Nothobranchius furzeri: one gene and its partners. The protein of the gene in region 2 interacts with the protein of the main gene of each other region in a pairwise test. Links are inferred from orthologs where the notes say so. Each region holds a gene or a part of one and is shown on either strand. Other genes may lie near its edges.

Region 1 (4,470 bases), on a different chromosome or scaffold from region 2:
GGGCGGATCTCATCCACCCCTGGAGCCTTGCCACAGAGGAGCTTTTTAACCACCTCAGTGACCTCAGGACCAGAGATTTGAGAGGCCAACCCAAAGTCCTCAAACTCTGCTTCCTCACTGGAAGACGTTTCAGTGGGATTGAGGAGGTCTTCGAAGTATTCTGCCCACTGATCCACAACGTCCTGAGTCAACACATTCTCACACCCAAGGCGTCAAAATATGACGCGTGTGATCAGGCCTCAATATATGACGATTCGGGATGCCCTAGCGCGTCAGGAGACGATGATCAGGGACACGCTAGGACACGTGGCTCTGCTGGCGTCACTGTTTGACGCGGGCGGTCATACGGACATTATTCAACTATTTAACCTTCCCCTCACCCCAATCCTAACCCTAACCTTAAGGTCCATAAACTGTGACCTTAAGGTTAGGATTGGGGTGAGGGGAAGGTTAAGTAGTTCACAAGTAGTTCTAATGTCCGTCTCAGCACCAGCGTTGGATACCGAGCTCTGGGACGCTGCGTCAGCAGTTTCTCCCTGATCGTCGTCTCCTGACGCGCTGGGGCGTCCTGAATCGTCATATATTGAGGCTTGGTCACACGCGTCATATTTTGACACCTTGGATGTGAGAATGTGTTGCCTGAGTAGAGGTCAGCAGCACACCGTCCCCACTATAGATATTGTTGGTAGCGCACTGCTTCTCCCCCCAAGGCGCCGGATGGTGGACCACAATCTCATCGAAGCCGTATGGAAGTCTTGCTCCATGATCTCACCAAACTCCTCCCATGTCTGGGTTTTTGCCTTGGCGACCACCCGAGCTGCGTTCCGCTTGGACTGCCGGTACCCGTCAGCTGCCTCTGGAGTCCCACAGGCCAAAAAGACCTGATAGGACTCTTTCTTCAGCTTGACATCATCCCTAACCGCCAGTGTCCACCAGCGGATTCGGGGGTTTCCACCACGACAGGCACCGACGATCCTGCGACCACAGCTCTGGTCGGCCGCCTCAACAATGGAGGTATGGAACAGAGTCCATTCAGACTCAATGTCCCCCGCCTCCCCCGGAACATTTTGGAAGTTCTGTCGGAGGTGGGAATTGAAGCTCCTTCTGACAGGAGACTCTGCCAGACGTTCCCAGCAAACCCTCGTGATGCGTTTGGACCTGCCTGCTCTGACCGGCATCCTCCCCCACCAACTGAGCCAACTCACTACCAGGTAGTGGTCAGTTGACAGCTCCACCCCTCTCTTCACCCGAGTGTCCAAGACATGCGGCCGCAGGTCAGATGAAACAACAACAAAGTCGATCATCGAGCTGCGGCCTAAGGTATCCTGTTGCCAAGAGCACATATGGACACCTTTATGTCTGAACATGGTGTTCATTATGGACAATCCATGACTGGCACAGAAGTCCAATAACAAAACACCACTCAAATTCAGATCGGGGGGCCGTTCCTCCCAACCACACCTCTTCAGGTCTCACTGTCGTTGCCCACATGAGCGTTTAAGTCCCCCAGCAAAACGAGGGCGTCACCGGAGCGAGCGCTTTCCAGCACCCCCTCCAAGGTCTCCAAAAAGGGTGGGTAGTCTGAACTGTAGATTGGTTCATAAGCACAGACCACAGTCAGAACCCGTCCCCCCACACGTAGGCGGAGGGAGGCTATCCTCTCATTCACAGGGGTAAACCTCAATGTACAGGCACCAAGATGGGGGGGCAACTAGTATGCCCACCCCTGCTCTGCGCCTCTCAGTGGGAGCAACTCCAGTGTGGTAGAAAGTCCAACCCCTCTCAAGGAAAATGGTTCCAGAGCCAGAGCCATGCGCTGAGGTGAGTCCGACTATATCTAGTTGGAACCTCTCAACCTCACACACCAACTCAGGCTCCTTCCCCACCAAAGAGCTTCTGTAGCCGAGGATCAGACCGACAAGGTCCCCGCCCTCGACTACCACCCGTCACACACTGCACCCGACCCCTTTGGCCCATATCTATTAAACCTAAAATGTTTTTTGAACCAGGCTGTAAACATGTTTATTTCTGCTGTGAAATTAGCATTTTTTACATGGGAGTCAACGGGAACTTGCTCTGCTCTGGTGCCAGCCCCTAGCAGATGAGGGTGGAACTGCAATTTTTGCCACTCCTTGTTGGCTTCAAAAAATTCAGACTAAAATGGCCCTTCGTGCAGAACCCAGCACAGAACCAGCTGCCTAGATCACTTGTTCTGGAAACCAGAAAAAATAAAATTAAAACAGCTAAAAATATACTCACACATGCGCAAACTTGCTCAACAAAAAGACAAGGCTACGCAGACCGATTAGGCATGATTGATGCAGCTCTTGAATTTGGACACTTATGGTGAAGTGTCCGGCCAAAGGACACAACTACGATCGAAACGCAGTTGGGGTTTGAACCGGCTACAGGGCGAACTCCTAACCCTTGAGCCACCGTCACTAAGTGGAGAACTCAGCTGTGAACTGGGACCAGCTCACTTCAAACTGGCCAGACTGAGAAGTAAGGCTGCACAAGGGTTCATGGAAGTTCTGAGGACAAAGACCATTTTCTGTCTAACACCCCCTTTTCTATCCTGATTTGCAGAAATGTTTAAAATCTCAGAATATTTCCAGACCTTGACCTCCTCACCTCAACTGGCCTCCTGCTGGATGAGGAGACACATCGTACACGGACCCCCTTCCTCTTCCTCACAGCCTTCACGCCACTTTGTCCTGGTCCATTAGCATCACCTCCATGCTCTGAGCTACCTTTGAGTTGGTTGTTGCTCCTCCTGAGGAGGCTGTAGAGTGTGAGCAAAACCAGCATGGAGAGGACCAACATGTTCCTGTCCCACAGGTGAGCTCAGCCTGGGACAGGATCCAGGTGAGTGAGGCACACAGGTGTCCCGTAATCCTGTCGCTTTCTCATTTATTCCTCAGCTGTCTCACCTCTGTCCTGGTCCCGTCCCTACCCTGCCAACGCTGTACTTCCACAGAACTGATAAGAACACATGAACCTTGTCCTCCTCTCTGTTATTGTTGTCTAATCCACAGGTAATCCTCCATTAAAACTTTAATTCTTTATTTTTACCTCAAGCTCGGAATGACTGTTGCCTGTGATGATGTCAGGAGAGGTGCATTCAGGCTTCAAGTCCTTCGAGTCATTTTGAATTTGGCTTCAACAGTTTCCCCCACTGTTGTTTAACAAGGCGGACAAAAGCCTAAATATTTTACACGTATACTTGATTTACCATAACTCTGCAAAGGTTTCAGCCATCAGAAAAATTCAAGCGTTCTTTTTAAAAGAGAAGTCGCACTTTTAAGTACACATTACAATAAAATGCATTACGCTGTTGCAGGAAGCCGGCTAATCAGAATGTCTCACATGCACAAGAGGGTAAGTGAGGGGCAGAAAATGAGCGAAACACACCCACAGCTAGGGCTGGGCAATAAATTGAAAATGTATCATCATCGAAATTTCTGACTCTTATCGAGATCATTGTCCCCATGTCAATAAATCTGATAATAAAAAAATGAAAAGATGTGTGCAGGTTGGCAACATTCATGTCCACCTCGAGTCTCGTAAAAATGTGACTCAACGTAATACATGTGACAGCCCCATCTAGTGGACAACTTTTGTTTCTACACATACCTGTAGTTAACGTCCATTTATCGCCATTATGGTGAACTCCTCAATATATCGTGATATTGATTTTAGGCCGTATCGCCCAGCCCTACCCACAGCTATAAATATCATTGGCCAAATTGCACCCTTAAAAAATAAATAAAATTGTTTTCATTCCCTAATGCGCTGCTTTGTCAGCTCAAGTGTCTGACTGCTGCAACCAAGTGGGTCTCTATTGCCTCCATTACTGGGTCTCACATGGCGTAGCGTCCACGTCACCAAATGCATTACTCTGTTGACTCGGCGTCAAAATCCCCAAACTCTGTTCCATCTACGGTTGTTGTAATCACTCTAGTCATGACAAGCACAAATGTTTTTTTTCGTGTCCCAAAAGTAGTGAGCCACAAAAAACCCAATTTAAAAAATCTTACTGAAAGAGGACGACAGAAGTGGACCTCCGGCTAAAGCCTGATTCATGCTTCTCCGTCAGCTCCAAAAGGGAGAGACACGCACGCACGGGCGGAGATGTTTTGCCCTCATACTTCTCCGTCTCCTGGGGAGTGTTGCAAAGCAATTCCCCACCAGGACAACAGAGGGCGTAGCGCTGTTCTGTGGTATCTTGTCATGTATCCGGTCCAAGATAGTGTGTTTATATTGTTTTTTTTTTGTATGTAAGAGACTTTTTAGCACAGACAAATTTGTCTCTCATCCTCCTCCACCTCTTCATGCACTCGCCACCTCTAAACCCACGTTTCCTGTCATTTCCGTTCACAAATAAATCGCTTGCTATGTATCTTTTCACTCCTCCAGTCACGGGGGAATTAAAAATTCATGTTTTTAGAGTTTTTTCGCGAGGTATTCTTC
Region 2 (4,519 bases):
TGGCCTATGACGAAACCACGACGGCCATTCACCAGCACATCAAACAACGGCATCCAGGAGCAGTGCCTTCAAACAAAAATACATCGTAAGTTCTCAAATTTTAACGCTGTTATTTACCATCCAAACACCCCCACGTAGACATGCACTCACTCACACACACGAGCAGACCCACGCACTCACAGTCTCATTCACTCACTCACACACACTGAGAAAAACATTCAACCTCAACTCATTGAAGCTGCTATAGCGGTAACAAATAGCAGCAGCTGTTACCTGTTTTGTTGGTTTTTATTTGTGGCTCATGCTGGCAAAATAATTCTGAATGCGCACATGCTGATTATGAGAGTTGCCGAGAGCCGAAAATGTGAGAGAGCGCAAATTGGCCAAAGTAAAAATGTTAAAGATAATGTCACGGCCGTCGTAGACACTATTCCAACATTGTTGAAGTTCTTGCTAAAGCAAAATGACAATGAACTCTTGATTGTAAAGTGTAATACCTCATCCTGTTTGAACTTATTTTCTATACTTCATGCTCCTCCAGATTGTTGATCATATAGATATAAGGTGCGTCATCTACTACTACAACAACTTTATTTTAGAATTTTTTTTAATAAAATGTGTTCAAATGAAGAAATGTGTGTTTATTTCATTGAGATACATACATTAGTAATACTCAAATTGCTATAGAAGTCAAATAATGGGGAAATAATCGATAATCTAATCGAATTGAAATCTAATTAAGTTGACAGATTAGTTAGAAGCATCGAAAAAAGTATCGCTAGATTAATTGATTACAAAAATAATCCTTTTGTCCAGCCCTAGTGTGGACACTTGGCCTTGCAAAGGACCAAGCTAGGCCTTGCAGCTCAGAAACAGACCCTAGCACCTTCTTAGGGTTCTACAACCCCCCAAGGTACTTCACAACACAATCAGTCATTCACCCATTCACACGCTGATGACGATGAGCTAAAATATAGCCATAGCCACCCTGGCGCTCACTGAGGGAGGCGAGGCTGCCAAACACAAGCACCACCGGTCCCTCTGACCACCACCAGCAGGCAAGGCAGGTTAAATGTCTTGCCCAAGGACACAACAGCAGCAATCTCTGGTCAGAGCCGGGATTTAATCTGCAGCCTTCTTATTACTGGACAACCCGCTCCACCACATGAGCTACTGCTGTTGTGTATTTTATGTGTGTATTTTATGTGTGTATTTTACATATTCATAACCTATAAGTAGTAAAGCATCTTTCTTTAAGCGTTATCATCTCAAGTTAACAATCAAAAACTCAAATAATCAAAACAAATAAAAACATGTACTTTTTTAAAATCTTACATTGTTTAATATTTACATGTTTCTTTGGTAAAAGGCTGATCCTCCTTTGCTTTGTCCGAGAACAGAGTTCCAGCTTCAGAAACAAACACAGAGATAAACAGATACCTGGCTGAACTATTCTAGGAAGTCAATGCTTCAACTGCAATGATTTCCAACCCTCTGTCACAACTATAATCATCCCAGCGTGTAGACACCAACACCCATTCCTCCCCACAGAAGGGAAAAAACCCTCACTGCTCATGTCATCATTATAAAGTCTTAATAATTATCATCTGAGGGTGCAGTGGGAGAGCGCAGGAGTGAAAGAAAGCCTGAAAACGAGAGAAAGAGGCAGTAAATGGATAGAGTGAGAAAGTAGGCAGCACCCTGTGGGTGCCTGACGGATGAGGGTGTCAGCTGTATTCACCCAACTAGCAGCCTTGTCTCAGAGAGTGTCAAGCCCCATGCACAAAGACCTGTCTCATTAAAGGCTGTGATCATCCAGCAACAAGAGAGCAAGAACGATCGGGCCCATAAATGACTTTTTAGAAGCTGGCGAAACACCAGTTCATTAAGCACAACGCTCTACTCCATGGCTGATCGACATTGACCACCCATATGGAATGTGTCCTCTTCACATTAGGAAAAGTTTATTTAATAGAGAATTCATCATCTAAACATAAGAAATAGAGAGAAGCAACACTCGACATTGGACCCCGCTTCCCTGCATTTGTATTGTTTAAAATTGGTGCATTATTAATGAGGGGGGGGGAATGTTAGACTCAGCTTTTTGGAGGCCAAACTCAAACCAGCTTTTGTCTCCTGTCACCAGCAGCATTACTTCAACAGTTAAAACACTGGAGCCAACACAAAAAGGTAAAAATCCTATTTCAGTGATCAACTACTTCATCATCCAATAACATCTATAGTTTTGTTATTTACATAAAAATACAACATAAATTTGACAGTTTTGACAGTAAAAGTCAATAAGTATCATCCACAATGCGCTAACAGCAGGGTTCAGCTCAGGTCATGTCATCTCAATCAATACACAATGTCACTATTGATCAGTGCAGGGCACTTGGGGGAAAACGATGAATAGAGGTTGCTAAATACATCCTAATATCACTGTAGACTATCTAACACATGCGCAAAGAGATAATTACTACTAGATGTAAAATTTACCACTAATGAGAAATTTGCTTGAGTACATTTGCTGATTAATCTGAGACGTTTTTCTGCATCAGTTGTGTGCACTCACACACACACACACACACACACACACACACACACACACACACACACACACACACACACACACACACACACACAAACACACACACACACACACACACACACACACAAACACACACACACACACACACAAACTGCTTACCCGTCCAGCTCCGGTTCTCTCAAGCCCAAACACCCCGAGCCCCCATAGGAAGAGACAGAAAGCCTACCTCGGTCCCCGGTGACAGCTCTCCCTCTGTGTTTCTGGAGGTCGACTTGTGGCAGGCGCTGACAGGATGGTAGTTTTCGTGAGCAGAGAAGTTTCAACGAGGCAGTGCCACAGTGATCACACGCGTTGTGTCAGCGTATCAGCAGACACCGCGTGACAACGCCCCAAAACAACAACAAAACAACTGATGTGGATCTTCTGGACCCGCTTCTGAAGGATGTTGCTTTTCCAACTCAGCTGTGCGCAGCTGCGCGCTTCCTCCTCCTCTCCCTCCTGACGCGGTTCCCCCAAACCAAACGAGGGCACGTGACCAACCCACAGGGGACTGGAATAGATTTCCTCACCCCTCCTCCCCCTCCAACAGTAGCAGCTGGGATCAGTTTCACCGCTGCTCCAGTGGCCGCGCAACAAACCCGAGCCGTGCGCACCCACACTCTTCTTCCACACATCATCCCGCCTCAGCGTCTGTCGCTGTCAGGATTATAGCTTCAAATTTAAAATGATCAGTTGAACAAATAAAGTGAATAAGAAAAAAAACATTTTTTGGCTTGTAAAGTTGGATGAAACGAACTGATCACGATTCCGATTTAAGCGTCCTAGAAGAAACTTTATCTTTATAATAAAACTGTTAGTTTTACTGGGTCAAGTGGCTCCATAGAAACAGCATCGATGTTTGAACCTATTCAGTAACAGATGAGTGAGGTTGAGACCCAAACAAGTGATACACTAATATCATCACCATCCATAGCCCCTGCGTCACAGCTTCACCTGGAAAAGGAGAGAGCGGAACGGGAAGACTGTCAGGAATTCTGACAGTTTTTGAAACCATTTTTTCAGTTAAAATTAAACGTTGCCTATCGAATTGATAAAGAGGACAAAATATAAGAATCTCAGAAGAATAACAACTAGCTGATTAGTACACTGCCCAGCAAAAGGCAAGGCAGCTTTATTTAGAGCACATTTCAAACACAGAGGCAATTCAATGTGTTTTACAATTATCAGGACATGGTATGAAAACACATAAAAACACAAAGTAAAATACACACAGATAGAATTACAGTTTAAATGATAAATGACCCACACTTGTACAGCACCTCTCAGAGTAAGGACTCCAAAGCGCTTTACACTACAATGTATCATTCATCCATTCACACACACATTCATACACTGATGGTGATGAGTTACGATGTAACCACAGCTGCCCTGGGGCGCACTGACAGAGGCGAGGCTGCCAAAAACAGGTGCCACCGGTCCCTCCGACCACCACCAGCAGGTAAGGTGGGCTAAGTGTCTTGCCCAAGGACACAACAGCAGAATTCTCTGTCCAGAGCCGGGATCAAACATGATACCTTTCGATTACTGGACAACCCGCTCAACCTGTTGAGCTACTGCTGCCCTTTGGAGCTAAAGGAAAAAAAGTTGCCACCAAAAGAAAATGTTGCACAACCTAATACTTTGTTGCACAACCTTTAGCTTTGACTACAGCACCCATTCACTGTGAGGTTGTTTCAATAAGCTTCTGCAAATTCACAAGATATGTTTGCATCCAGTGTAGCTTTAATTTTCACCAACATCTTGCATCGAAGGATCTTTCATGGCGGTTAAAATGAAGAGTCGGAGTACCCGGCCCGGAGGGTTACCGGGGTCCCACCCTGGAGCCAGGCCTGGGGTTGGGGCCCGTGAGCGAGCGCCTGGTGGCCGGGCTTTCGCCCATGGGGCCCGGCCGGGCCCAGCCCGAACCGG
Region 3 (4,450 bases), on a different chromosome or scaffold from region 2:
CCACGTTCACACCAGTGACACACACAAAGGCTACATGTACAGCGGGACTGAAGCACATTTAGATGACAAGCTAGTTCAAAGGTCATGAGAAATTCAATCTTTTTTCCAAAGATGAACTTTCAAACCCCACCTGTGGTCCAAAAAAACAGCAGGGATGCATGACATATCGGCATCAATATCTATGTTTTACATATCGGTATCGGTCTGATAAGGACAACTGGACCGATATTAACTGAATATATATAAAAAGAAAGACGTCCAAAATTTCTGCTTACATAACTTTAAGTCTCCATAAAATCTGCTGACTTCAGAAGCATAAATGTCAGCCTGTATATGTCGCATCGACAAATATCGATTATCAGCCATAACAATATCGACATCAGCCCAAAGTTTCATTTCGTTGCACCCCAAGACGAAAGGGTCTCACCTGCATGACTTTGGGTAGGATGGTTTTGTTGAAGTGATCCTCCAGTGTAGGAGCGCTGAAGTCTCTCTTGTAAACATCCTCCTCCTCATCCTAACACACAAAAACCACACAATAAATCCCTACACGTATAACCTGTTGGTGACCCATCACAAACGATCACCTCCTTCAGAATCTGGTGGGATTTCCTGTCATTTACAGACATCTAAATAATAAAGGTGTTATAAGAAAGGGTACGCCGTTTTTATCACACAATAATTGTCAAAGAAAAGACACTGCAGCTGTAAATGAAGATTTTAGGAAAATCTCTTGGTTGTCTTAAAAATTTGCTTTTTTATGAATCCTGGTGACAATCCCGTGAAAAGGACTCTTGTGTCTGCTGGGACTCACCATGAAGAAGGCTCCTCTGTGGTAGTATTTCTGCAAGAACTTGTATTTGCCTTTGGAGGCTTTGTTGGTGACGACTTTGCCGCTGTTGCGTAGCTCCGCCCTGCGTTCCTCTTCCGTCATATTGTGGAATCTGTCAATTTCACCCTTCTCTCTCTCCATTCTGACAACAAAACACCACAAATGACCGTCCTGAAGAGAACTGCATCACTCTTTCACCATAAATCCTTTGGAATCCTGCAGTTTACTTACGCTTCCCGGGCCTCTCGGTCTCTCTTGATGCGTTTCAGCTCTCGGACCTTCCAGGCTTCATATTCCTCCTCTTCATTCTCCCCGTCAGTGTCCAGAGCTTCCAGTGCAGCCAGCGAGCGCCGGTTCTCTTCAAACTCCTTCTTAGCCTCCTCCTCAACAATCTTGAGGGTGTAGCGCCGCCGATCCTCTGCCTGCCTCTTGGCCTCGGCCTCCAGCTCTCGCTGCTTCAGCTCCTCGGCTTCGCGCTCTGCCACAGTGACTCTGTCCTTTCTGCAGTGCAAAAAAAAAACATTTGAGCTAGTGTTCTGAATCTGGAATTTTTATTGAAACATTTTTAGTTTAGTTCTCACTTGCGAATAAAAACAGGCTTAAGTCTCGGCTCTGCTTCATCCTCACTGTCTGTGTACTCCTCATATTCTGACTCCGACTCAGACTCCTCTCCTGACTTCCCCTCCTCCTCCACCTCCATCACTTCCATCTCTTCATTTTTCCTCTCCATTGCACGCTGGCGCATCATTGCTCGCCTCCTCTCAATTTCCTGGTCACAAGCACGATGAGCAAATTAATAATTTGTTCAAAATGCAACAAAAAAGTTAAAAGGATTTTATTTTTTTGGTGCACAATTGCTACCTCATCATCCACTTCTTCCTCCTCTTCCTCCTCCTCCTCCTCTTCATCGTCGCTGCTCTCCTGATGCTCAGGGTGCCATGTGCCTTCATCAGAGTCCTCACTGCTCTCAGCAACAACTTCAGGCTCTACGATCTGTCTGTGTCTTGCGAGCCTGAGCACAAACAAACGGGAAACATTTTGACTCAAAATGTTGACAGAATTTGAGTTTAATCAGAAAAACTGAGTGATACCTCTCCTCCACGTCCTCAGAAGTTCGATTGAGCAAACGTTTGAGACGTGGGTCATTCACATCTTCTTCCTGCTGCTCTACCTCCAGCTCCATTTCCACTCCCTTTTTAGCAAACTTGAATTCCTCCTCCTCTTCATCTGACGACTCCATGGGGGCATAGTCTGGACGTTTACCTGACACATACCTCTTCACCTTCACCTTCTCCATGGAGATCTCACCTACATTGTGTACAGAAAAGGGCATGATTATATACACTTCCTCAAGCTTAGTACAAGAGTATTTAAACAGGAAAAAACACTCAACCATAAAAAACGTAAAACAATATGTTGCAGATTTATTTAAATTAAATCAGACAGATACAGCATACCCCTCGCCCTTGGGAGTAATAAAATGACCCCAAAACTCAGACGTAAGCTTAAAACAACGAGTTAATGTCTCAGACAAGCTCTTATTAGGTAGACAGATAAATGACGTTACAAAAGCCCATGAATACTTTTAAGGGACTTAACAGATGACTTATCTAACACGTAAAAAAGTTGAAAAGCTATTTAAAATATATTTTTTCCAGTTGTTTATAAACATTTGTGTTGGATCATCAAAGATCTTGAATCTTGTTTAAAAAAATGTAAACTGTCAGTTGTTCCTCCATTTCTAGATTTTAAACTGTTACTCCCACCACACACACACATTTTACTCTCTTAAAAAACCAACATCACAAAATTGCTTTTCAGCTTGTTTTGCTGAGTAATGAATTAGTTATTTAGAAACTTAACTCGCGTTTTTTGACGCTACATAACAGATGCTACATTAGCATGGAAGCTAACCCTAACACGATTCACCTTTCTCATTCCGGATGGGCACGGCTCCTGCCGTGGACTGGATCGGTGGGAGCTTCATGTTGACGCTTTCGTGACTAGACATGACTGCCCGGTCAACAACACAAAACTATGGACGTGAAATAAAAGGATGTTGCGCTTAGTCTCAACAATCTCTTGGCTGCTTCGTTTCAAAACCGGAAGTTGAACAACTTCCGCGAACGGACAGGAAGTGCATTTGTTCCGAAGAGAAAAACCAAAAACTCAAGAATCAAATGAACAGGAAAGCGTCTCACATTAAATTGTTTTTACAAAACTGACATTTATGCATTTTTATAAACGTGTTTTCTAAATGACCATCAAGCTAATTAAAATCGATTAAATTGTAAATTGTAAATCACCGCCCCTTGGTGGTTTTTATGTTTCATGCATGATAGGCCTTCAAGTCAAGCTTTTTTTCATTATGATCAGAAACCCGATTTCACCCTAACAAATATAACCAACATCAAACATTCCGTTTTTTTTTTACAAAAATGACAGGCAGCTTAACAAACTACATTTCTTCTGCTCCAGGCAAGTTCAATTTACTAGCACAATAAATAAGTGCACGCCCTGACCCTTAACAGAGTAATAGGATGGACTGAGGTTGGCTTGTAACTTTGGCATCATGGTTTATTTAAAAACAAAAGGCTAATCTGACTGACTTTCTAATAAGCAACTCTTCACTTATCTAAAAAAAAAACTTTGTGTCTGTGTGAAAATTATTTGAAAGGTTTGATGACAATGAACCAGACTTATAAAAGAAATGTCATATGTTTTTATTCTTTTAATTTTCTGTTCTGGTTTGCATGACTTTAAAAATTTGACAATAATACAAATGACAGTGCAGCAGACAGTACATTCACACTTCTTTCTTTTTTTTCTGAAGCTCACTCATAAAGGTGCATTTGAGTTGTCATTTTAACAGTATAGACGTGTGGCTTTGCCATCAGAGTTGAATGCCTCTCTGAACAAGTCCTCCAGCTTCCCCTCCAGGGCAGAGTTAGTTCCTTTCAGGCCTTTCACCACCTCAGAGGCCCAAACAAAGTACTCCTGGACCCGCTCAGTGTTCCAGCCTGCCAGGCAAACAAAAGGTAGACAACATGATAAACACCATTATTTAGGGAGGCAATAATTAGAGAAGCAGCTACAATAAACAAGTCAGTGTAGGTAGTGATCAGAGCAGATCAGTTTACGTGATAACACAACACAGGGTCAGGTGACTGAAACAAAGCAACTGCAGTGGGCAGGTCTACGATTGGCATTCATGAGTCTGACCGTGGAGGGGAAGAAACTGTTCTTGTGGCTAGCGATTCTGGTCTGAATGGATCAGAGCCTCCTGCTAGGTGGGAGCGAGTATAATGGGCCATTCCCATCTGTATCGGGTCAGCCTGGGCCGGGTAGCGTAGGTTGTTTACATATCTGGGTGGCCTGGTATTTTTCCGGGCCAACCAAGGCTCATTCTCAGCCCTCTTCTCGAGGGGGTCTACTTCAGGCCAACACACCCACTGCTGACAGCAAATTCACACCTTCCATTAGAGCAAGCCTCTGATTGGTGGGTAGAATCAGCCCACATGGGCTTAAGACAAGGATGTGTGGAATCAACCGGGCCAGGCTGGGGCCGACTGGGGCTACCCGGCCTGGGCCGACCCGGTACAGATGGGAATGGCCCAA

What was found.
Region 1: the proteins of mid2 (region 2) and kifc3 interact in binary tests that used the Homo sapiens proteins (3 or more experiments, as listed by UniProt). The two-hybrid records come from large-scale screens. The link is inferred for Nothobranchius furzeri from reciprocal best matches to the Homo sapiens genes MID2 and KIFC3.
Region 3: the proteins of mid2 (region 2) and mfap1 interact in binary tests that used the Homo sapiens proteins (3 or more experiments, as listed by UniProt). The two-hybrid records come from large-scale screens. The link is inferred for Nothobranchius furzeri from reciprocal best matches to the Homo sapiens genes MID2 and MFAP1.

What each region holds. Positions count from the first base shown.
Region 1 is NC_091749.1:65,919,328-65,923,797, reverse strand, and holds the start of kifc3 (kinesin-like protein KIFC3), read right to left. Parts: upstream 2,959-4,470; 5' UTR 2,824-2,958; coding exon 2,632-2,823; intron 1-2,631. UniProt on the Homo sapiens protein: Minus-end microtubule-dependent motor protein. Involved in apically targeted transport. Required for zonula adherens maintenance.
Region 2 is NC_091741.1:89,376,150-89,380,668, forward strand, and holds the start of mid2 (probable E3 ubiquitin-protein ligase MID2), read right to left. Parts: upstream 2,915-4,519; 5' UTR 2,778-2,914; intron 1-2,777. UniProt on the Homo sapiens protein: E3 ubiquitin ligase that plays a role in microtubule stabilization. Mediates the 'Lys-48'-linked polyubiquitination of LRRK2 to drive its localization to microtubules and its proteasomal degradation in neurons.
Region 3 is NC_091749.1:30,003,985-30,008,434, reverse strand, and holds the start of mfap1 (microfibrillar-associated protein 1), read right to left. Parts: upstream 2,959-4,450; 5' UTR 2,844-2,958; coding exon 2,762-2,843; intron 2,141-2,761; coding exon 1,924-2,140; intron 1,845-1,923; coding exon 1,694-1,844; intron 1,602-1,693; coding exon 1,414-1,601; intron 1,334-1,413; coding exon 1,064-1,333; intron 975-1,063; coding exon 815-974; intron 518-814; coding exon 428-517; intron 1-427. Other genes in the region: hddc3 (guanosine-3',5'-bis(diphosphate) 3'-pyrophosphohydrolase MESH1), read right to left, coding at 3,698-3,852. UniProt on the Homo sapiens protein: Involved in pre-mRNA splicing as a component of the spliceosome.